Cricetulus griseus: one gene and its partner. The protein of the gene in region 2 interacts with the protein of the main gene of each other region in a pairwise test. Links are inferred from orthologs where the notes say so. Each region holds a gene or a part of one and is shown on either strand. Other genes may lie near its edges.

Region 1 (12,343 bases), on a different chromosome or scaffold from region 2:
CTTGGGTTTGAACCCCAACACTACAAATATAGAAAAAGGAGAACCATTCCTTTTTTTTTTTTTTTTTTAAAGATTTTATTTATTTAGTATACAGTTTTCTGCCCACATGCCAGCAGAGGGTACCAGATCTCATTCAATGTGGTTGTGAGCCACCATGTGGTTGCTGGGAATTGAACTCAGGACCTCTGGAAGAACAGTCAGTGCTCTTAACCGCTGAGCCATCTCTCCAGCCCAAGGAGAACCATTCTTAAGGAAAAATAGGACTATTATTGGAAAGAGATGGATGAGAACTTCAGATACACCACATTTCAAGAGTACATGATCCTTAGCACATTCAAAATGCAAACACCCCAGGGAGAGGGGGAGGGGGAAAAATATCAGGTCAAAAGCTGTGAAAGGGACTTGTGATTATGTAACAGACTGAACTGAAAGGCCAGGCCTCATGGCTGTAACTCCCCAACACTTGAGAAACCAAACAAGGAGACTGCTACAAGCTTGAAGTCAGCTTGGGTCACACACTGAAGACTTAGTCTCCAAGCGAAACAACAGAAACCAACAGTATAGCCAAGATAAAGCCAAGGCAGGGGGTTGGAGGGATGGCTCAGAAGTTAAGAGCATTGGCTGCTCTTCCCGAGTTCCCAGCAACCAAATGGTGGCTCACAACCATGTATGAGATCCGGTGCCCCCTTCTGGCCTGCAGATATACATGCTGGCAGAAGACTGTATACATAATAAAAAAGGGCCATTTTACAGAAGTTGGGCTGGACGGTTATGTTTCCAGTCTGTTCTATTTATTGATGCTTGTCTATTTATTGATGCTTGTCTAAAGGTTTAACTTAAGTCATGCTATGTGGCTTTTTGATGTGATGCTCAAACATGAGCATTTGGGTGGGTGTGCCCCAAAGAGAGGCAACCAAGACATGGGGTGTCTTTCCTCTACCACTCTCTATCCTATTGCCTTGAGACAGGGCCTCTCACTGAAACAGGTCATTTCACCACAACTGCCAGCCAGCCAAGTTGAGGGGATCTGCTTGTCTCCCCTACACAGTGCAGGAGTTACAGAATATGTATGGCTAGGCCTGACTTTTTGTGGTTCATGGGTTTTGAACTCAGGTCCACATGGCTTCAGAATTAGGTGCTTATTCACTGAACCATACCTCCAGCAATCCCCACTTAAGAAAAGGAAGGAGGGAGGCACACCACTTTGTACTTGAAGAGTTGTGGATCCTAAAACCAAACACGGGCTCCTACATACAAGTTGCCCAGTGTTCTCAGAAAATAGAAACACAGAAAGGAAGAGCTGCCCCAACTCTTACCTGGTAAGTGATGTCAGGTCTTGCAGGCTCAGCACTGCCACCCCCACTGAAGCCCCCAGTGATGGCATGACCCAGGGTGTGACCCACCGCAGAGCCCACAGCCACACCAGCTGCAGTGGTTGCCATCTGGGCCATCAGGCCTGGCTGCCTGGGTGCAGCAGCAGGGGAGCCAACTGCAGATGGTGCAGCTGCTGCTGGAGGCTGAGCTGCAGGTGCATGTCTAGGAGCAGCCCTCATCTGAGGGGCCCGGCTAGGAAAGAAAAGAACAAAACTCATCAGATCCCAGTTCCAAATGGCTTTGGAATTTACTGAAGAAATGCGGCAAGCCAGGTTTGGTGGCACAAGCCTGTAATGCCAGCACTGGGATGGCAGACACAGGAAGAATCAATAGGCCAAAGCCATCCTCAGCTACAGTGATTTCTTCCTCTTCACTAATGTTTCTCAGAGTATAATCATTGCAGCATTTCTGCCCTCCCTTCCCTCCTGGCTCCAACCCCCTCCCATAGATCCCTCCTTGATTGATTTCAAATTCATGGCCTCTTTTTTTATTAGCTGTTACTAGATGCATATATGTGTATACATACACATTCCTACATAGAACCTCAGTCTGTATGTTACTTGTATGTATGTGTTCAGGGCTGACCTCTTGGTATTGGATAACTAAATGGGTGTGCTCTCTCTGGGGAAGACTATCTCTCTTGCCTTTCAGTATTCTTTAGTTGCTTGTAGTTCCTCATGTAGGTTGAGGCCTTGTGAGCTTTTTATCATACATATACTTTGGCATATCTACTGTCATCCTCATTCTACATTGTGACTTTAAGGCCAGTCTGAGAAAAGATACCCTCTCCTAAAAAAACAAAAACCAACCAACCATAAAAACCACAGCTAGCTCTGAACCTATGAATCCTATATCAGCCTCATCCAGTGCTGGGATTAGAAGCATTTGTCACTCTGACTTGGCTTCATTTTAAATCTCTTATTTTACTGTTGTATTTTATAATTGTTTACATGCAACTATGTCTTTGTACTATTTGCATGCCAGAAGAGGGCTCTGGATCACCTGGACCTGGTTTTGAGGGGCCCATGTTGGTGTTGAGTATCAAACGCAGGTCCTCAGGAAGATCATCAGTCAGTACTCTTAACTATAAAGCAAACTTTCTAGCCCCATTTTAAATCATCTTTTTGTATGTGTGTGTGTTTGTTGACAGAGTTTGTTTGTGTGGTCCTGGCAGTCCTGAACACACTTTATCTTACAAGGCTGGAATAAAGGTGTGTGCCACAACTGCCTTTAAATATATATACCACCCACCAGCAAGAAGACTATAGAAACTTGTTTTCACTAACTGATTATACATATATAGCACTGTACCTCTTCAATCTTCTGTTAAGCGCCCCCACCCCTCCCACAAAATAGTTTCTTTGTGTATTCTTGATTGTTCTAGAACTAGCTCTGTACACCAGGCTAGCCTTAAACTCACAAAGATCAACCTGCCTCTTCCTCCTGAGAGATGGGATCAAAAGTGTGCCCACCAACCTTGCTAAAGTTTTAACAACCAAGTATAACTATTTTGTCCCTTTAAAAAAAACTGTTTTCATGTATCCACATGGCCCACAGTATCTTTAAAGAACAGTTATTCCAATACTCCATAAAATCATCAGCTATTGAGCTGGAGAGATGGCTCAGAGGCTAAGAGCACTGGTTGCTCTTCCAGGGGTCCTGAGTTCAATTCCCAACAACCACATGGTGGCTTGCAACCATCTATAATGAGATCTGGTGCCCTCTTCTGGCCTGTAAGCAGACATGCAGGCAGAACACTGTATACATAAGTAAATAATTAAAAAAAAAAATCTTATCGTACTCTTCTGCCGTGCAGGCATACATGCAGGCAGATCACTGTATACTAAGTAAATAAAATCAGCTATTAAGTTGAAAAGGTAGAGAAATGCTCAACAGTAAAGACTGCATACTGCTCTTAGCCCATGGTGAATCTCAGCTCCAGGCCACCTGACACCTCTGGCCTCCCAAGGCTCACAAACCCACCTCTCAAAAAATGGTAACAACAACAAAAACAAACAAAAAGATTGGGAACTCAACCAGGTATGGTGGCACACGCCTTTAATTCCAACACTCCAGAGGCAGAGGCTGGCAGATTTCTGAGTTTTAGGCCATCTTGGTCTACAAAGTGAGTTCCAGGACAGCAAGGGCTACATAGAGAAACTCTATTGCGGGTGAGGGGATATGATTAGAGCTTGGGGAGTTCATGCTTGGGGAGCTCACTGGTGAAAGGTGTTTGCTGCCAAGCCTGAAAACCTGAGTTAGAATCCTGGAATCCACAAGGATGTTTACTTCCCACAAACTGCCCTCTGACCTTCACACAGGTATACAGACATAAAACAATTTAGAGCTTGGATTAGCAGAGCATTTTCTGGGCAGGCATGGGACTCTGGGTTGACTAAACTAGAAAGAAAATATACAGAAGGCATTGGCTTGGCAAAATATACCTGTAGTCCCAGCTATTCAGTGTGTGTGTGTGTGGGGGGGCAAGATCATTTAGCACATGGCTTTGGGACCAGCTTGCACAATGTAACGATAAAAAAGTCAACAAAATCCAAAAAACAGTCATGAGGTAATGCTCAGAATGTACACCAAGACCTTCACTTTACCAATCACAAAAGGTTAAGGCAGCTGGGTATGGTGTGGTGGCCCACTCCCTTTAATCCCAACATTCAGGGGGCAGGAGCAGGTGAATGGATCTGAGTTCCAGGACAGCCAGGGTCACAGTGAAGCCCTGTATTAAAGAAACAAAACAAAGCACCAATCCAAACCAAAAAGAAAAACTTAGGGACAATGACCTGTCTGAACTGCAACTTTTTTAGCTCTTGTAGACTGGTCTCGAACTCAGAAATCCACCTGCCTCTACCTCCCGAGTGCTGGGATTAAAGGCATGCACCACCAACGCTCGGCTCTGAACTGCAACTTTTACTAATCTTATTTCTCGTTTAGTTTTTCCGAGCCTGGGTCTCTCTATAGATAGCACCACTGCTATCTTGAACTGGTGCCTACCCTTGCCTTTAGGGAGACAGGAGCATGGAGAGCTATCTTGGGGATAGATGGGGCATCTCTTACCATATACAGTCCTCAGCCTCCCTCCCATTACAGAAACAATCTTTAACTTTCTACAATTATATTCCCCAAAACGAAACATCTGGGGTTTTTTTGTCTAGTTTTGTTTTCCGAGACAGGGTTTCTCTGTGTAGCTTTGGAGACTATCCTGGCACTTGATCTGTAGATCAGGCTGGCCTCGAACTCAGAGACCTGCCTGCGTCTGCCTCCCGAGTGCTGGGATTAAAGGCGTGCACACCAATACTTGACCAAAAAGAAACATCTGTATTCCAGGCGCTGTCAACAATTTCTACTTATCTACCCACTTCCTGTGGGCCGAGGAGATCTCTCAATAATGTTTGCAACTAAGTGTTAAGATATTCTGGACCAAAGTGGTGGAAGGAAAGGGCCTATACACAGGTATTTAATTTTCTTGTAGACACCTTTAAAGCCTGTAATCCCAGCCGTAGGGAAGCGGAGTCAGGAAAATCAAGGCAGACTAGCAAGGCCTATCAAGTTCAAGGTTAGCCGGAGGACCTCACACACACAGTAAAAGAAAACCACCCCAGGCAGGCAGTGGTGGCGTACGCCTTTAGTTCCAGCATTCGGAAGCCAGAGGCGGCTGGATCTCTGAGTTTGAGGCCAGCCTGGTCTACAGAGCGAGTTCCAGGACAGCCAGGCCTGCCTACACAGAGAAACACTGTCTCGAAAAAAGAGAGAGAGAGAGAGAGAGAGAGAGAGAGAGACGAGAGAGAGAGAGAGAGAGAGAGAGAGAGAGAGAGAGAGAGAGAGAGGAGAGAGGAGAGAGAGAGAGAGAGGAGAAACAAAATTAATAAGAAAACCACCTCTAGACCTCCACATAAATCATTCTTCCTCCGCCTCTTCGTAGACTATGTCCTCTAAGGCCCTTCCCCCCAAGCAGTGGAGGAGAAAGTTCACGCTTTAGCGTCCTCTGCCGTAGCGCACCGAGGGTGTCCCTGTTCCCGGGGAGCCCTCTTCCCCAGGAGCGGGTCCCTTCCTCATTGCTCGCCCTGTCTCACCACCCGCCGCCTTCGCAGCTCTCTGGCTACGCAACGTCACCCTGGCCGCCCGCTCTCAGTCCCCAACCCCGAGGAGGGTCTCACCTGGCCGGAGGGGCCACCCGGGAAGAGCGGCTTCGGCTTCCACGCGGCATCCTGGGTGATCAGACAAGCAGAGTCCAAAGACGAGAAACTGCGAAACACCCACGAGCGTCCAGCAACTTCTACCAAGGAGAACGGAAGGCGGGAGGCGGGTTCTCAAAGGGCAGCCAATCAGCGCTCAAGAGAGCACGAGCGCTGAAGGTCATTGGGAGATGAAGACATCCGTAACGGCGAACGCCCTGGTGCCGCGCCCTACGCCGGGAAGTCTAGAGCTTGGCGACCAGGCCCCGTAGCTAGCCGGAAGTTCATGGGGTTGCGCTCTCAAATCTTGTCCCCCGATTCTGTGCTTCATTGCTAGGTTTTTGCTTCCAAGGGACGACCTGCTTCCCCAACAACTCATGCTTGATTTTAAGATCCACCTGCCTCCGCCTCTCAAGTAAACTGGATTGGGGGATTACAGGCATATGCCGCCATGATTACTGAGTTAACAAGGTTAAATGCAACCTTGACTGAGTCATCTCTGCCTTGTCTACCAGAGGGCCTTGGGCTGTTTTTTTAACCCTTCTCAGATTGTTTTGTTTTGCGACAAGGTTTCACATAACGGGTGTTGGCCCGAACTCGCTGTTCTCACGACTCAGTTTCCTAGTGCTGGCGCTGCAGGAGAAACTCATACTAAAATTGATGTTGTAAAGGATTTACTAATAAACTTGCTTAGAAATATTAAGTTAAACAAAGTAGAATTTAGCCCGGCGTTGGCGGATCTCTATGAGTTCGAGACCAGCATGGTCTCCAGAGCGAGTTTCCAGGACAGTCTCCAAACCTACAGAGAAACCCTGTCTCGAAAAACCAAACCAAACCAAAACCAAAACAAAGTAGAATTTAGCTAAAGGAGCGCTGCCTCCGGTATAACTGGAAGACAGTGTACTAACCAGGCTTATTAGAAACTGTGGGGAAGGGGTTGGAGAGATGGCTGCTCTTCCATAGAAGCCGGGTTCAATTCCCAGAACCCACATGGCAGCTCACAACTTGTCTGTAATCCTAGTTCCAGGGGACCCGACACCCAGGGCAAATCATCAATGTGTACAAAATAAAAATGAATAAACTTAAAACAAAGAGAAAGAAACTGTGGTGAAGAAAATTCTGTACCTTCATTGAAGTTTCAGGTGGCCAAGAAAGTTTCTGATAATGTTTAGTCAACAAGGTTGACCTCCAATTAGGTGCCATTCCCATAATAAAAGGAGGCCACCCTGGCTCAAAACTAGCTGTGAGATCCATTCCCATATCTAAGAACATGACTTTAAAGAAATGGTTCTTGGGGCTGGAGAGATGGCTCCGAGGTTAAGAGCACTTACTGCTCTTCCAGAGGTCCCGAGTTCAATTCCCAGCAACATGGTTGCTGGCTCACAACCATCTGGTGATCTGGTGCCCTCTTCTGGTGTGCAGATACACATGGAAGCAGAATGTTGTATACATAATAAATAAATAAAATCTTAAAAAAAAAACAAAAAGAAATGGTTCTCTCTCTCTGTCCTACTCTGTTCTTCCATTTCTCGGTCTCCCGTCGTAATAAACTCTATGATTAATATACTCTTTATGCTCTCCATGGTTCATGTTCCATAGAGTGTGCTTTTAATCAGAAATATAACATTTGGTGCCGAAACCCGGGAAAGCTAGTGAGAGAGAAATAGAAGAACATAACAGGACAGAGAGTGAGGAAGAGAGAGTGGCAGAGAGAGAGGAGAGAGAGAGAGAGAGAGAGAGAGAGAGAGAAGAGAGAAGAGGGGCAGAAAGAGCATAAATGGGCAGGGGTCTGTCTTTTAAAGAGGTCCTCTACACCTGCCTACAGACTTAATTCCCATGGAACGCTGGGCTGACCAGGGTACTGCCTGAGTGGATTCTGCCAGGTTAACAGGGGCAGGCCAGCATAATGCCTGAACCTTTCAATCCCACCTTTACTAGAAACCCTATCTCAAAAGACAAAAAAAAAAAAAAGAATACGGTGGAGTGGCTGGAGAGATAGTTCTCAGTTAGGAACATGCATTGTGCTTGGAGAGGACCCAAGAGTTCCTGTAGACCAGGCTGGCCTTGAACTCAGAGATTCACCTGCCTCTGCCTCCCGAGTGCTTGGAATAAAGGCACTAGTCACCACGCCCAGCTTTATAATTTAAAATTTTTTAAATACTAAAAATACAATGTGGAGAAGCAAGTGAGGAAGATAGCACACATGAATACACCAGCACACTCATGCATACATCACATATGCCCAATAAACAAACTGAAGTAGGGTTGCCACCACACTGGAGAAGCTACTCCTACACAAAGAAGGATGGCTGGGCTGTCAGTTGCTCAACAATGTGATAGTCTGTTGCATTATCTATTTTAAGTGAGTGTTTAACAATGTTGTAAGGATGTCTGTGAGATGCAGGGGTTTGCTGCCAAGGCTGAGGACTTGAGTTCAATCCCCTGAGAGGCATAGAAGCAAAGAATCCATCAATGTAGGTTGTCCTCTGACTTCCAAAAGGAAAAGAGGTGGATTGTAACTGAACATATCTCATTAACAATTATGCTCCAGTTTGCCTTAGAACTTGATACTATCTTTTAACTGGGGGAATAGAAGGTACACTTGTAACAGGAAATACTTTAATATTACTTTGTAAGACTAGGGACTGTTGCCAGCCCCCAGGTCCTATTGTTTGGCTGAAGGAAGGAAAACAATTCGACAGTTCATTCTTATCCAAATGGAAGGAGGGCAACTGGAATGGACTAATTTGACTGACCAGTCCCAATGTAACAATACAGACTTGAGCATAATTAAATATTTTAACAAAATCTAATAATAGAAACTACAAACGTATTAAGATGAAAAAGAGAAAACAGACTCCTTAGTAGATTCGATCAAAATTAACATGTCACTGTCTACAGCTAATAGATAGGATGCCAGTTTTTGGCTCCACATAGCGTCAAATAGCAGACAGACAAGTTCCTTTTAATTCTTCAATTCCTGGGCTCTTGGGAAAAAACTAACATGTTGAATAGGAGTCACATATAAACATTATGACATCATGCCAATTTAACAGGGGACTCCATAGAACATGCCCCTGTAAACATTTCCAAGGCTATATTGTACTGATATATGCCTCCCACGCAATGCTACTTCCAATCATGTGCTCCCCTAGGGAAAACAATTACACCCGTGATGAATTTTTTTTCTGTGAGACTAACACTTATTCTGTCCTCCCCAGAGGTTATAAAAGGGCATGTATGGGTGAGGGTGCATCACACCTATTTTATTCAGTAAGTCTCTACAACCGTTAATAGAATTATGAAGTCAGGGAACTGAGAATTGTGCTGACTCGCTACATCTGCTAGACCCCACCTCAATAGCAGTCGAAGCTGCCTTTGTATTCCCTGTGCCTGGATTGGTTGTGGGGGTGTAAAAGGGGATTTCTAAAGTAGCCTGCTAAATAGCTAAAACTACTAATAGTACAGCAAAGATACTGGCAAAAATTAATCACAAAATGGGAGAGTTAAGAATGACAGTCTTACAAAATAGAGCTATCATAGAGGTTCTGCTCAGACATAATCTTAGATATCAACAATTCCCTGGAATGTGTTGTTACAATGTATCATATTTCTCCCACACTATTAATAACCAAAGCAATGACTTACATAGAGAAATAAAATCTGCAAGGCACAGGTTGATTGGCATCTCAAGGCAGAGATGGTTCTTCCCCTTCATCAGACCCTTGATAGCTCTCTCATTAATCATAATATTTGGGCACTGTTTTTCAATGTATTTCTAGCCTTATCACACGAAAGATATTCAATGCCAGAATCCTGTTTACCCGACAACATCAGGCACCGCTGCTACCTTGTCAAAGATTTGGAAGGGTTACACAGGCCAAGGGGGGCATGGGAGTATATGTGAGGCAAAACAGGAGCAATATACCTTGCAAATCAAAGGGCCCATTATGTTAATCCCCTAAACTTTACAAAAATAGGTTTCTATTTAAGAGTAAGGCTGCTTCTTAAATCTAATGTGTGACCCATTAACAAGATGTACATACTCGTCTTCCTCTTTCATTGTATTTTTCTAACAATCTCTAACAGCCAATTGTCTCCCCTCTGTAACTACACAGCTTTTTTCTACTAATCTTTATCTCTCCCCGATAAAAGGAACCTCAACAGTCCAGTGCTTTTTAAATGCCAACTTAGTGCGAGACAGGCCAGTCCGGGTGTACCTCTAAATCGTAGCTTACTTTGAGTAGACAATCATGGATATTTAGTCTTTCTCCTCCCAAGTTTCAGGTTTAATACTTGTTAATACAGTAGGCATGATGGCACATGCCTGTAATGCCCCAATCCATTTTACTTGAGAGGCTGAGGCAGGATGATATCAAAATCAAGGACATCCTGGGTTATGGAGGAAGCCAGTTGTCTATTGGAAGCAAAAACTTAACCATCCCTCACAGAATCGAAGAACAAGCTTTGACAGAGCAATCCCAAGAACTTCCGGTTGGACACAGCGCCCCGTCGCCAAGCAACTTCCCAGCGTCAGACGCAGCCCCTACTGATTACTGACGTCTTGGTCTTCTAATGACCTTCAGAGCCCGGGCTCTCCTGGACCCCGATTGGCTATGCGCTGACACCCCGCCTCCCACCTTCCTTTCTTTGCTGGACGCTCGTGGGCGTTTCAGAGTTTGTTTTGTTTGGAAGCTGACTATAATAGCACCCAGGATGCCGCGTGGAAGCCGAAGCCGCTCTTCCCGGGTGTCCACTCCGGGCAGGTGAGACCCTCCTCTGGGCTGGGAACTGAGCGCGGGCGGCCAGGGCGATGTTCCGTAGCCAGAGGGCGGTGGGTGGTGAGACAGTGCGAGCAGTCGGGAAGGGATCCGCTCCTGGGGAAGAGGGCTCCCCGGGAACCGGGACACGCTCTGTGCACTACCGCATAGGACCCTAAAGCGTGAACTTATTCCTAAACTGCTTAGGAGGAAGAGCCTTAGAGGACATAGTCTACAAAGAAGCGGGGAAAGAATGATATGTGAAGGTCTTGAGGTGCTTTTGTCTTACTGTGTTTTTGAGCCCCTCAGACTAGCCTTGAACTTGATATATAGGTCTGGCTAGTCTTCCTTGAGTTTCCTGACTCCGCTTCCCTACGGCTGGGATTACAAGCTTTAAAGGTCTGTACAAAGGGAAAATTATTTATTTATTTGTTTGTTTAATGGTTTTTTGAGGCAGGGTTTCTCTGTGTAGCTTTGTAGACCAGGCTGACTTCGAACTCACAGAGATCCACCTGCCTCTGCCTCCCTAGTGCTGGGATTAAAGGCATGCACCACCACCGCCCAGGTGTTTGAAGATTTAAAATGAGGCTGGAAAATTGGGTTTATAGTTCACAGCACTTGCCGCTCTTTCAGAGGACACAGGTTTGATTCCCAGCATCCACATGGCTCCTCAAAACCATCTGTAACTCCAGATCCAGGTGATCTAACACCCTCTCTGGTGTGCAAGTGGCACAAAGACACAGATGCATGTAAACAGTCATACACATAAAATATAACACAATAAAATAAATCTAAAATGAAGCCAGGCGGATGACAAAGGCTTGTAATCCTAGCACTGGATGAGGCTGGTGTAGGAGCATTCATAGATTCAGAATACTGTTTTGGCTAGGGTTTTTGGTTGGTTAGTTGGTTTTTGTTTTTTTAGGAGAGGGTATCTTTTTCAGATTGGCCTTAAAATCACGATGTAGAATGAGGATGACAGTAGATATGCCAAAGTATATGTATAATTAAAAGCTCACAAGGCCTCAACCTACATGAGGAACTACAAGCAACTAAAGAATACTGAAAGGCAAGAGAGATAGTCTTCCCCAGAGAGAGCACACCCATTTAGTTATCCAATACCAAGAGGTCAGCCCTGAACACATACATACAAGTAACATACAGACTGAGGTTCTATGTAGGAATGTGTATGTATACACATATATGCATCTAGTAACAGCTAATAAAAAAAGAGGCCATGAATTTGAAATCAATCAAGGAGGGATCTATGGGAGGGGGTTGGAGCCAGGAGGGAAGGGAGGGCAGAAATGCTGCAATGATTATACTCTGAGAAACATTAGTGAAGAGGAAGAAATCACTGTAGCTGAGGATGGCTTTGGCCTATTGATTCTTCCTGTGTCTGCCATCCCAGTGCTGGCATTACAGGCTTGTGCCACCAAACCTGGCTTGCCGCATTTCTTCAGTAAATTCCAAAGCCATTTGGAACTGGGATCTGATGAGTTTTGTTCTTTTCTTTCCTAGCCGGGCCCCTCAGATGAGGGCTGCTCCTAGACATGCACCTGCAGCTCAGCCTCCAGCAGCAGCTGCACCATCTGCAGTTGGCTCCCCTGCTGCTGCACCCAGGCAGCCAGGCCTGATGGCCCAGATGGCAACCACTGCAGCTGGTGTGGCTGTGGGCTCTGCGGTGGGTCACACCCTGGGTCATGCCATCACTGGGGGCTTCAGTGGGGGTGGCAGTGCTGAGCCTGCAAGACCTGACATCACTTACCAGGTAAGAGTTGGGGCAGCTCTTCCTTTCTGTGTTTCTATTTTCTGAGAACACTGGGCAACTTGTATGTAGGAGCCCGTGTTTGGTTTTAGGATCCACAACTCTTCAAGTACAAAGTGGTGTGCCTCCCTCCTTCCTTTTCTTAAGTGGGGATTGCTGGAGGTATGGTTCAGTGAATAAGCACCTAATTCTGAAGCCATGTGGACCTGAGTTCAAAACCCATGAACCACAAAAAGTCAGGCCTAGCCATACAT
Region 2 (11,906 bases):
CCTCCCTCTGCCTCTATGCATTGAGAGTGTCCCTGTGTATCCCTAGGATGTCAGTCATGGGATGGGAACTGATGACTTTAGCTCTAATCCAATCCCTTTGCTTTCTGTACTAGTACCCCGGCCACAGAGCAATGAAGCTAGGAGGAGGCCCAGGTACCCTAAGCTTTGGTATTCCTTGGACACTGGAGTGGTGGGGTAGGAGAGGGCTGATAAATGGTAGGCTCTAACCACAACCCCCTTGTTTTTATTTCTTCTACTGCTGTCTTGACAGGCGCTTTGGCACAAAATGTACAGCCTGCCAGCAGGGCATCCCCCCAACCCAGGTGGTCCGCAAGGCCCAGGACTTTGTCTATCACCTGCACTGCTTTGCCTGCATCATCTGCAACCGGCAGCTGGCCACAGGGGATGAGTTCTACCTTATGGAGGATGGGCGGCTAGTGTGCAAGGAAGACTACGAGACAGCCAAGCAAAATGGTAAGCAGCATGGCCCCCGCATGAATTCCTCCAGTGCTTTGCGGGCTGTGCCTGTCTCTCAGTGTCCCTCCTATCCAGCCCTCAGGATGCAGCCAATACTCAAGCTCCTCCGAGAATTGTAGCCAGAGCTCCACAGGTAGAGTTAGTTTTAAGCACCCCCAAGCCCTTAGGCCTTGCTAGCTCTGTGAAGTGTTAATAAAGCCGTAGCTACTGATTTCTGCTGAAGCCCTTATGGGGTAGTGAACTCACCACCTCTGCTTGGAGCATGGCTGGGAAGCTTGGTTGACTGGGGACATTTGAGGTGCACACTTCTTCGTCATCCTATGCTTCACAGGCTGCCATCAGCAAGAGCCACAGGACTTGCAGGGCTGGACTGTTTTCAGTTGTCTCCTGTCTGTCCTCAGGCTGTGGACTCAGGGGAACTGACCTTTGAGTGCCTGAAGCCCTTAAGCTGGAGTGAGTGAGTGAGTGAGTGAGTGAGTGAGTGAGTCAGTCAGTCAGTCAGTCAGTCAGTCAGCCAATCACTGGGAGGGGCCATGTTTAGGGGACTAGACAGTATGATGGCCCTTACCTTACCCCAACGCCACAGCCCATGCCGCAGTGGAAACTTCAAGCGCAGTGCAGACTGATGTCACCCACCCATGTTTCCCAGCCATCCCGGGAACCTGGCCTCAGCTGGGCAGCCTGAGAAGCTTCTGCTTTTGCCCTCCTTGTCATCGCCTCACAGAGAAGAGGCTTTTCTCTCTGCACAAGGCTCAGTGTGTTCCCCATGTGCCACCCAGGAAGGCCAGTCCTGACTCTCACTTTTCTGAAGCAGGCACACTCTCTGCTTCTCAGTCACAGCTCTGGCAGTAGGGCGAGGGCATCATGTCCTGCATCTGTATTCAGAATTTGACCAAACCCAGTCTAGAACTCTTAAGCTACAACTCCCAGAATCAGGGTCTTTGTCCTTGACAAGAACTTTAATCAACTTAGTTATTTCTGAGGACGGCAGCTCTGTTGACGGGTCTGGGCTTGGTGGAAGCAAACATTCAGACAAATCATTTCATGTATTCCTTTCTAGTTCTTTCCTGGGTTCGCTTACCCATGTAACCTGGATCTGATTAATACATGGAGAAATTAGATTTTTTTATGGTGGGGAGCAGGCTGAGGTGGGGGGCCCTGTGATGAGCCAGCTGCTCCAACCTTGGCTTTGGGACAAGGGGCCTCATCTCTCTGGCCTTTACTAGTGGACCAAGGACTAGTAGCCTTTGTCCCACAGGGACCAGAGACCTCTGTATATCCCATCAAAAGCTCTGCCTTGATGAGCTCATGCACTCTACTTTAGTGGTTCTCAACCTACCTAATGCTGCAACCATTTAATACAGTTCCTCATGGTGTGGTGACCCCTACCGTAACAGTTTTTCATTGCTACTTTATAACTGTAATTTTGCTACTGTGATGAATCATAATGTAAATATTTGTGTTTTACAATGGTCTTGGGTGACCCCCCCCAAAGGCTGCCACCCACATGTTGAGAACTACTGCTATTGCTTTGGAATCCACCAGGATGTCACAGAAGGGTGTCAACACAGGTGGACTTAGAGATACCAAGACAATTTAGAACTGGACCCTACAAGACTTTCACCAAAACCACGCCTCTCCTGGGCCTGTGCTGGGTCTTATTTTCAAAGCCCTCATGTTGACCTTTCAAAGACCTCATGTTTAGAGCCCAGAATCTCCTGGTGCTGTGGATAATTCCAGAGAAGAGGGAGACTAGTATTAATGTCAAAGGGAGGCAAGGATGACATTTGCAGCACTTGTCATCTTATGGAAGAAGTTTGTTTTACTGCAGCTTCCTGTAGGACAGTGGAAAGCACTGGTCTTGGCATCCAAGGCTGGGTGGGCAGCTACAGATTTGGAGTTTCTCTGGCAGGTTGAGGAAGCCTTGCCACACTGCTGTTTCCCAAGGTTAACTAGGATGACGCTTATACAAGGGAGTGCTAAATAAGAGCAAGTCCCTAGCGGAGAGAAATGCAGACAGGAGATGAAGTGTGCTAAAGAGTTAGAAGAAGCTGAAGCTATGTGTGCTTGTCCCCTAGGTGTCTCTTGACTCTGTCTGTCCCTTCCATTCTGTGCAATCCTAGAGATCCTTGACACGATAGGGGACATTTGTCTGCTGTAGTATGTTTGGCTGTTGTTAGCTTTCATTCCTTCTTGTTGCTCTAAACCTTCTTCCAAGCTCATAATTAGGGAATTATGAGCTAAACAAAGGGTTTAGTATCAGCTATTTGCACCTTAGTAGGAATGATTTTGCTCATTCATCTTGTCTCCTTCGATATTTTCATTTTCAATATGCTGCATTTTTATGCTAGGGACAAGCTTTAGGAGACACTGTATAATTCAAAATGAACATGTGTTAAGGCTAATTTTCCATGGGAATTAGTGTTACAAGTGTGTGTTGTGGGGGTGTGTTCTGCAGTCACACCAATCCATAACCAAAGTGTATTTCGCCTTAATGTTACTTTTTATTTTCTCAGCATTATCTCCAGTACCATGCTGAACGCTCTCTCCTAAATTAACAGCCCAGGGTGTCATGGGCTTGCTTGGCCTTCCTCATAGTGTTTTTATCACATTTAACTTCCGCACCAAAGTTATTGATTTTTGGGTACATTTTTCAGCGTGAACACTGACACCACTACTTAATGAATACTTGGATGACATTGTTATAGGATATAAAAAAGATTTTAAATTATAATAACAGTGAATGTTAAAATAACAGCATAATAGTTCCCATAATCACATGAAGGAAGTCTGTGCACATGAGCACATGCTGTACCAACCAGCTACCCACCATCGTGACAGGGCACAAAGAAGTAATTTCTGACTCATTTGGTCAATCTGTTCTGAAACTGACTCTCATGATTGGGTTCCCTCCCCTGTCACACACACACACACACACACACACACACACACACACACCATACATACACATACACACACACACACACACTCACACATACAGTAACACACACACACACACACATACACTCATAAATACACATACACACACACACACACCCATACATACACACACACACACACACACACACACACATCCATACATACACATACACACACACACACTCACACATACAGTAACTCACACACACACACATACACTCATACATACACATACATACACACTCACACACGCACTCACATCCTGCCATACACACTGTTTCTTTTGAGTAAGAGCTTCTGATTGTGTTGTCCAGGCTGGCCTCAAACTCTTGGGCTCAAGTGATTCTCCTGCCTCAGCCTCTAGAGTAGCTGGGACTATATAGGCTTACACTACTTTTTCAAGCTGGAAGTTTGTACATAAAGGCCATCTACATATTTTGAAAGCACATCACTTCATATTTATATAATTCGGGTTTGTTTTAAACAGTTACATTGTGAAGTCTATAAATGTGGGCAGAAAGGACCCGGCCCTCACTACCACACTTAAAGTGAAGAGTTTCAATGATCTGCCTAGGGACTCTGTACCCTGCCCCTTGCTGGTCAAATTGGCTGAGAGCAATTCTGAGTTGACGGTAACTCTGAGGAGGGTAGGACACTGAGGCCTTCACCCTTCCTTGTGGGCAACTGCTGAATTTCCAGAGCATGGAGCCCCACATGGGGAATGGTCACCAGATTCACTCACCAGGAAGGCCCAACTCCATGTGTGGACTCCCAGCAAGCATCTCCTAGAACCAGGGACTGAATGCATTCAAGGCTCATAGCAAAGCCGTGCACAGTAGGTACTTAATAAATGTCAGCCAGTGTTGAGGTCCTAAATGAGGGCTTTTTAATTCAAATGGAGAAGTGGGGGAAAGGTAGGCAGGAGAGAAGTTGGGGCCATGTTATGTCCTGCCATCTTTATTCTGGGCTCCCCCCTGATTAAGTGTTGGGAGACAAACTGCCCAGGGTGGGTCAGCTCTGGAGGTGCTCCAGAGGGGAGGAGGCAGGCTGCCTGAGGAAGCTCCAGACAGACTACATTTTGGCTCCTTCCTTTGACTGTAAGCGGAGTATTTCCCATAACAGGGAAATAGGTGAATTATTTGTGCAGCGAACATGATACACTACGGAAACAAGCCTAAGGGGACTTCTTTGTGTTCTGTTTGTGACAGTCCTCTGTGTGGAGAAACTGACCAGGGAGGGGAGATGGGAAGGTGGGTCTTATGAACGGCTGCTCACCAGTGTCAGCATCCCTGACACTGCCTATTTCTCCCCCAGGTTGTCTGGGGTGGGGGAGAAGGCAGAGGAAGCCCAGCTGCTTCAGCTGGGCTAATTCCATTAAGGTGGTTTTCCCTGTAGATGACTCGGAGGCTGGGGCTAAGCGGCCGCGGACCACCATCACAGCAAAGCAGCTGGAAACACTAAAGAACGCATACAAGAACTCCCCGAAGCCTGCCCGGCATGTGAGGGAGCAACTCTCCTCCGAGACAGGCCTGGACATGAGGGTGGTACAGGTGAGACAGCTGTACGGCTTTGCCCCTGACGGATCCAGGCCAGGGCAGGTCTGTGCCCTCCACCTAAGTAAGGGAAGCTTGGGAACGTGAATGACGTCATCTGGTGGGTGGGTGGGACTGAGTCTACAGGCAGGGGAGTTCAGGGCCACCACCCTGGGCATGAGGCTCAGGCTGAGGAGACAACGGGCACCCTGCCCTTTGTTCTGACACACTACCGAAGCTTTGGTCCATTTCCAGTCACTTGCTTGAGGGTTCAGGGGCTTTAGGTACCTCCTAGGTGCTTGCGGTGCGGGGGCGGGGGGGGGCAGGGGTCTTTAGGTAGCCCCTGAATGTGTTCCCTGTGTTTTGTGGCAGGTTTGGTTTCAGAACAGACGGGCCAAGGAGAAAAGGCTGAAGAAGGATGCAGGGCGGCATCGCTGGGGGCAGTTCTACAAGAGCGTCAAGAGGAGCCGGGGAGGCAGCAAGCAGGGGAAGGAGAGCTCGGCAGAGGACTGTGGGGTTAGTGACAGTGAGCTGAGCTTCCAAGGTGAGCAGGGCTGCAGGGGTGAGGCTGAGGCCCTAGGCGAGGCCCTGGGGGACAGTAATCCTTGCCAACAGGAGGGATCTTTCTGATGACACCCTCCTGGGCACAGGGTTTTCCTAGACTTTCAATAAAGGGTGGGAAGGGTGTTAGTGGCCCTTCCAGAAGGGGTGAGGAGTAGAGAGCAAGAGAAAGCCGTTGCTGACATACAGAGGCTGGAGTCCTCCGGACCCAGCCTAGCCCTGTCCTGGCCCTGAGGCCTCCGCCACTTTGCTGTTGGCACACAGTTGTGAACACAGGATGGCCCTGTCTCAGTCTTTGCCCCAGCCCTCCTGCACTTCTCCCCTTTGCAGGGACACTGAGCTCCTCCCACGGCCCCCTAGAGTAAGCCGTTCCTCCAATCCTGGTGGCAGGAGGACATGCTCAACAGGCCTTTTCCTGGGAAATCAATAATGTGAGTGCATGATGGGGAACTGGCTGCGTTTCTGAAACCCCTCCCCCCACCACCCACTCCATCCTGCCCTCCGCACACCAGCTTTGCAGCATGCGCTACGTTCAAACTGTGCATCAGCAAAACTGCAAATTACCGCATGAGTGGATCCTCAGGTTGTTTGCAAATAACCATGACTGCTCTTGCTCACTGAGCCCTCAAATACAGAAGATTCTTTTTTTTTTTTTCCTTTTTTTCTTTTTTTATGGGTGGGGGAGGGAAGGGTCTGGAACTGAGGCTCGGAAACCTGATTTCTAGTGTAGCTGTCAAAGCCATCTGTTTCTCCTGAGCCTCATTCTATACGTGGGGAGAGCCCACATCCTATCCATCTCACAGAGCTGTCATGGGCGTCAGTGAGCACAACCAACTGTGGATGAGCTTGGGGAAAGCTAAGCAGACCTGTGTGTATGAGGACAAATGGGTGGCCTGGTTGTTCCCATGGGAGCCTGTCATAGGGGACAGCAGGTATCAAGGCCAAGTGGAGCTTGCCTGGAGCCAAGTCTAGTCTACACCTTCCTGCTCCCTTTGAGTGACACACGGTCCCCCCTTTTTTATGGTTGTGAGTGGAATGTGGGGATCAGATAGATAGGGTGTGAAGTTAGTGACAGTGGCCTTTTGTAGGAATCAGTGTGTAGGCCCAGGTAGTAAGGGGAAAGGAAGACACTGGAACAAGTTACCATGAGCACAGAGCTGCAAAATCTGACCTCAGCCCAGGGGGGCTGCCGAGCCCAAACTTAGCCTTCTTAGACCCAAGGAGGCCAAGGAGGTTCATGCCCACTTCCCAGGCATCTTGGCAGGATTGGGGAAACCGGTTACTCTCATCTGAGCTGCTCAAATCCATACTGGGAACACAGAAGCACCAATCCTTGTTTTGTGGCTCATTTCCCCTGGGTGTGGGTGGGCCTCTGGGTATAACATGTTCTCTCTGGGTAACACGCGATCTTGTAATTCTTAAGACTAAACCTGCTCACCCCTATTGGAGAGAGAAATTCTCCCAGAAAATTTTATTAGATTCCCCTTAATGAAATTCTTCAAGAAACCAGAAGGTCCATTTGCCTTAATCAAGTCATTCTTTATCCTCAGTAAGTAGGTTATTGGATACAGAAAGAAACTGAGTTCTTTGATACTGAACTGTTTTTAGGTGGATGGGGATTTTATATACAGGCCTCAGAGTGGTTTCCAGCACCTTTATCATACAGACCTGTTTCCCACCCAGCCAGAACAAGTACTTTTCTTGGTTTGAAAGCCTTCATAGTAAACCCTATCGGCAGTTTCCATTTGTAATGCAGTGTGACCCACCAAACCCAGACACGCACACTGTTCAGTGTAACCAGGGGATCTCAGTGCTATTCTAGACCAGTAAGTCCACGAGACACTTCCCAACCCATAGGGCTTGGGGATTTAGGTACAGGCGATCCTTGTTTTCCCTTTGGTCTGGGTTGGTTTCTGGATAGTAGGCTGACATGTTGGTGTCTGACCTGTGCTTGGCAGGGAGGCAACTGCTGCCCGTGGGCATCCTTCCTGGTCATTGTATTGCTGGTTATGAAGAGCAGGGACCACCAGAGTCCTGGCAGCTGACAATATATCTCCGTTCTTTTGTCCACAGAGGATCAGATTCTCTCAGAGCTTGGCCACACCAATAGGATTTATGGCAACGTGGGGGACGTTACAGGCGGACAGTTAATGAATGGGAGCTTCTCCATGGATGGGACAGGACAATCCTATCAGGACTTGAGGGATGGGAGCCCCTATGGGATCCCCCAGTCTCCATCCTCCATATCGTCCCTGCCATCCCATGCCCCTTTGCTCAATGGGCTGGATTACACAGTGGACAGTAATCTGGGCGTCATTGCGCATGCAGGGCAGGGAGTAAGCCAGACACTGAGAGCCATGGCTGGGGGACCCACCTCTGACCTCTCCACAGGAAGCAGTGTAGGCTACCCTGATTTTCCAACTAGCCCAGCCTCCTGGCTCGATGAAATGGACCATCCTCCTTTTTAGACTTTTCTCCCCACTTTATCTGTCCTCCTGGCTTGAGCGAATTCTTCAAGGATCAAAAGAGACTTACCTCTTAAGGATCAAAAGTGCGCCAATGTGAATTTCCATTATTTTCAATGGAAGTCCTCTGCTGTTCTAGAAAGAAGGCTGAGACCACACTAGGACACTGCTTTCTTGGGAGGTGACAGGAGAGCAACCTCATCTCAACCACAGCACAGGGGTGGACAGCCTAGAGCTCTAGGGCCGCTGGCTTGCTGGCTCCCTCTCCTCTCACCTTGCTTCCAGGCTTTGGCTGCTCAGTGCTTTGATAGCACAAGGTGACCGTGAACAGGCCACCTTGGCCTATGGGGACTCTGCCCAGCCTGTGCATCTTACCCTTTGTCACCTAAATCATCACTTTCACCAGAACCAGGATTCCTGAGGGAGAGGCACCATGGCCCTTGAGAATAATAAAATGGTTTCTGGACCACTTTGATTATACCCTCATTTTCAAAGTAAAGTCAGTTATTAAAGGCTAGTTAAAAAAACACCGATGGCCACAGTTTGTTATAAAAAAAAAATATGGCCCCATCCCATTCTGTTTGTTGCGGTGACACTATGACTTTTTTCCTACTTGCAAGTGCAACCCAGAGTGAGTCTGGGTTTAAAAAAAAAAAATATCCCACCTGTATTGCTGAATCCCTGATGGCAAGAAGTGGCTTCCACTGCAAGTGACCCTGAGACGAAAGCCGAGTGTCTCTGGATCTTCTCACACAGTCTATGAGTCCCCTTGGTGCACAGTGCCTTTTAGTTTGCTTATATCATTTCCTCCCCAAGACAGGCTGAGGGCTACAAAATGATCCAAGCTAAACCATGCAGAGACCAGAATGACAATCAGTGAAAACATTCATACACACATTCGAACTCCAAACATGCAGTCTGTTTAGCCACACCGGCAGATGCTAGTCTCCCCGACTTCCCTGGCCTCGTGATGGGGTGGAATGAAATCTGGAACATTCACTGTACTCTGAGAGGGTTGATTTTGATGACTTTGCAAGGCTGTTCTCTCTTGAAATGAAAGCCTCCTCTGCCTTACTAGCTGATTCAGTTGAAAGACAAGGACCAGCCAGGCTTTTTTTTTTGGGGGGGGGGCTTAACTTGGTTTGGAAAATAGCTGGGCTCTCTGGGTTGCTGGCTAGACTTGTGCCATGCTGCAGGCTTCAGTCCTGTGCCCAGAAAGCCCCAGCTCCCTGGCCAGCCACAGTGCAGGGACTCTGCCTCCAGAAGTACTTCACTAAGCCTGCAATAGGAGTGAGGCCAGTCTGGCTCTCAATCTGTCATCTGAGAGAGGCTACTCCTCTGTGGTAGACATGGCTGTGACTGGTGGCAACTGCTACTGCTGTGGCCCACTTCTGGCCACCAGGAAGTGTTCCATGTTCAAAATGGGAAGTTAGCTAGCTGGAATTTATTCTCACCCCCTCAAGAAGCTGGTTCATTTCTTCTGGCCCTGCATTCTTTTAAACAAGATCTGAGGGGTAGGAAAAGATGAGCAGGCATTATGTTTCTTTTACACGAAGTGATGAAACCAAAGGCCCAAGGACCCTCGTTTCTGTCAGTCATGTTTGAGGGACACATTTCCTCTTTGGCTGCTAGCTTCTTTCAAAGCTAAGTTCAATTAAGCTTCCTTAAAGAAACAGTCAGTTCTCTGATCAGTTCTGTAGAAATGCTTTGGTGAGCTGTAGCTGGCCTGGCTTTGCTTTCGAGAGTGCAAACAGACTGCTTTCTTGAGATCTCATGTCTTGATGACATTCACTATTCAGTGCTACTAGAATTTCCCAACAATGTGAATGCTGGGTTAATGATGGAGACACAGATGCAAGATAATATGCCATGTGAAAGAAATGGCAAGCATCAATGTGAAGACCCAATTCCTAAATACCCCATCCTCAGCAGACTGCCCATTAACACACAACGCCAGGCTGGGCAATCTAGCTGGAAAGCTGCTGTAGCTAGGCCACCACCTTAGTTCGACTATTGGTTAGTGTCTCATGGGTTTGTGTTTTTGAACATCCTATATAGCACTATTGAAGACTGACTGAAGTTAATTGGGTTTTGGTTTTGAGGATGAGTTACTCATACTCTCAATTCACTAGTGGGAGAGCAGGAGGCTGTTCTCACACTAACACTGTATCTTGAGGAAGATGGTGAGCATTGCAGTGATGTTGACAGAAGCTTCTTGGGGGGGGCTCCTTTTTGGGGGGTGCACTGAGCTGGAAGGGCTCTTGGGAGAACACTGGGTAGGAGGCTTTCTTTTAAGTTCCTTTCAGAGCCAGCTCTCTAGAGGGCAGCATACTCTAAGTGCCCATTTAGAAGCACAGCCTCAAGTTTTTAGTGGATCTCCCTGCAAGTTCTGTTGCGTTTGGGCTGCTGTCCCAGTGGGCACTGCATGCCAAGACCGTTCTTAGACTTGCCCATGGTTCAAGATGGAGAACTGGATGCTTCCTTGTGAGAAGCCTACAGTAGGATACCAGTACCCTCTGGAAGCGCATTTCCTCCTTGTCCAGGGGCAAAAGTGATTTCAAAACATGAAAAACATGAAGCGTAAACTATTTTTTTTTTCCAAGACAGGGTTTCTCTGTGTAGCTTTTAGAGCCTGTTCTGGAACTTGCTCTTGTAGACCGGGCTGGTCTGGAACTCACAGAGATCTGCCTGCCTCTTCCTTCCTGAGTGCTGGGATTAAATGCGTGCACCACCACCACCTGGCCAAATCGTAAGCTTCTAGAGGCATTTACAATATTTGGGTCCAACTTTGCCTCTAAGAGAACATTTAACTGACACTTATGTTAGAGTGCATCCAGCAGACTTCTGAATTCTAGGGCAAATTTAAAAATTAAGTTAAAAAACAACAAACAAACATCCCTGTTTCCAGTGGCAAGGATGGAAACAGAGTGATTCTGTATTTGTGGGAAAGTGATAAAGCTACGGGAACGTCCAACCCAAGGGCTGCTGACCAGCTGGGCAGAACCTCTTCGTGAAGTACTGTGGACACAGGCGCATTTCTCTCCTGACAGATCACCGGTCTTGCCTCTTCTACTAGTGTAAGGGGAACATTAGCGACCATATTGAGAAAATTGTTCCTGAAAATTAATACAGTGAAACCACAGGGAAAGAAACAAAATTAAGACCTAGGAAAAGCACTGGGTAGTGGCCTGAAAGGTATCTTGTGCTGTCATAAAACATAAAATCTAGTAAGATAATTGAGGGCTGTTAGCACTTCATTAAGGGCATGTAAAAAAATCTGTAGAACAAAATCTGAAGCTCCCAGCTGGTGGCTGAGGGGCCTCTTGGCAGGAAGGTTTCAAGGCTTCTGAACTGTGTGTTGTATGACAGCCCACCATCCTGCATCCTCACAGAGCCCCTCCCACACCCTACCACCGACCCCTTAGCTCTAACCATGGAATGATGACCACACCTCCTCAGCCAGCAGGGTCTGGAGACTCATTTTTAAACAGTGCACTTTAAAAATTGGAAATGGTGAGATGAAGAAAAATTCAATTAAGCGGAAATGAGTTTTGTTTTATTGCCTGCTGCTGAAGGGCTCTGGGCATGCTGAAAGCTAAATAAAAGCACATCACTGGCTCTCTCTTTCTTGGATTGGTCAAGTGTTGCCCCCCCTCCATTTTTTTTCAGTAGTTGCTCCAACTGCTCTAATAGTGACTGGAGCCAAAAAGAGAGAGCTCAGCAAAGCCATCCCACCCCCTCTCTGCTTGGTAGGACCACACTAAAAGCACAGATTCCCGCTGCTAGCTCTGGTGAGGAGATAGCTGCAGGTTTGGGAGGGGCGCCAAGCGTTCCTTTGCTGAGTGAGGCAGAGCACAGGTGGACAGAGCAAGGCCACCTCCACTCCCACCTGCTGACGCCTACAGGAAGGGATCACACTGGACTTTCCTGT

What was found.
Region 1: the proteins of Lhx4 (region 2) and coiled-coil-helix-coiled-coil-helix domain-containing protein 2 interact in binary tests that used the Homo sapiens proteins (3 or more experiments, as listed by UniProt). The two-hybrid records come from large-scale screens. The link is inferred for Cricetulus griseus from reciprocal best matches to the Homo sapiens genes LHX4 and CHCHD2.

Annotation. Positions count from the first base shown.
Region 1 is NC_048597.1:109,159,890-109,172,232, forward strand, and holds the start of coiled-coil-helix-coiled-coil-helix domain-containing protein 2, read right to left. Parts: upstream 5,705-12,343; 5' UTR 5,594-5,704; coding exon 5,544-5,593; intron 1,567-5,543; coding exon 1,317-1,566; intron 1-1,316. Other genes in the region: zinc finger BED domain-containing protein 5, read left to right, coding at 11,817-12,092. UniProt on the Homo sapiens protein: Transcription factor. Binds to the oxygen responsive element of COX4I2 and activates its transcription under hypoxia conditions (4% oxygen), as well as normoxia conditions (20% oxygen).
Region 2 is NC_048598.1:36,049,472-36,061,377, forward strand, and holds the end of Lhx4 (LIM/homeobox protein Lhx4), read left to right. Parts: intron 1-271; coding exon 272-474; intron 475-4,812; coding exon 4,813-4,967; intron 4,968-5,321; coding exon 5,322-5,493; intron 5,494-7,583; coding exon 7,584-7,978; downstream 7,979-11,906. UniProt on the Homo sapiens protein: May play a critical role in the development of respiratory control mechanisms and in the normal growth and maturation of the lung. Binds preferentially to methylated DNA.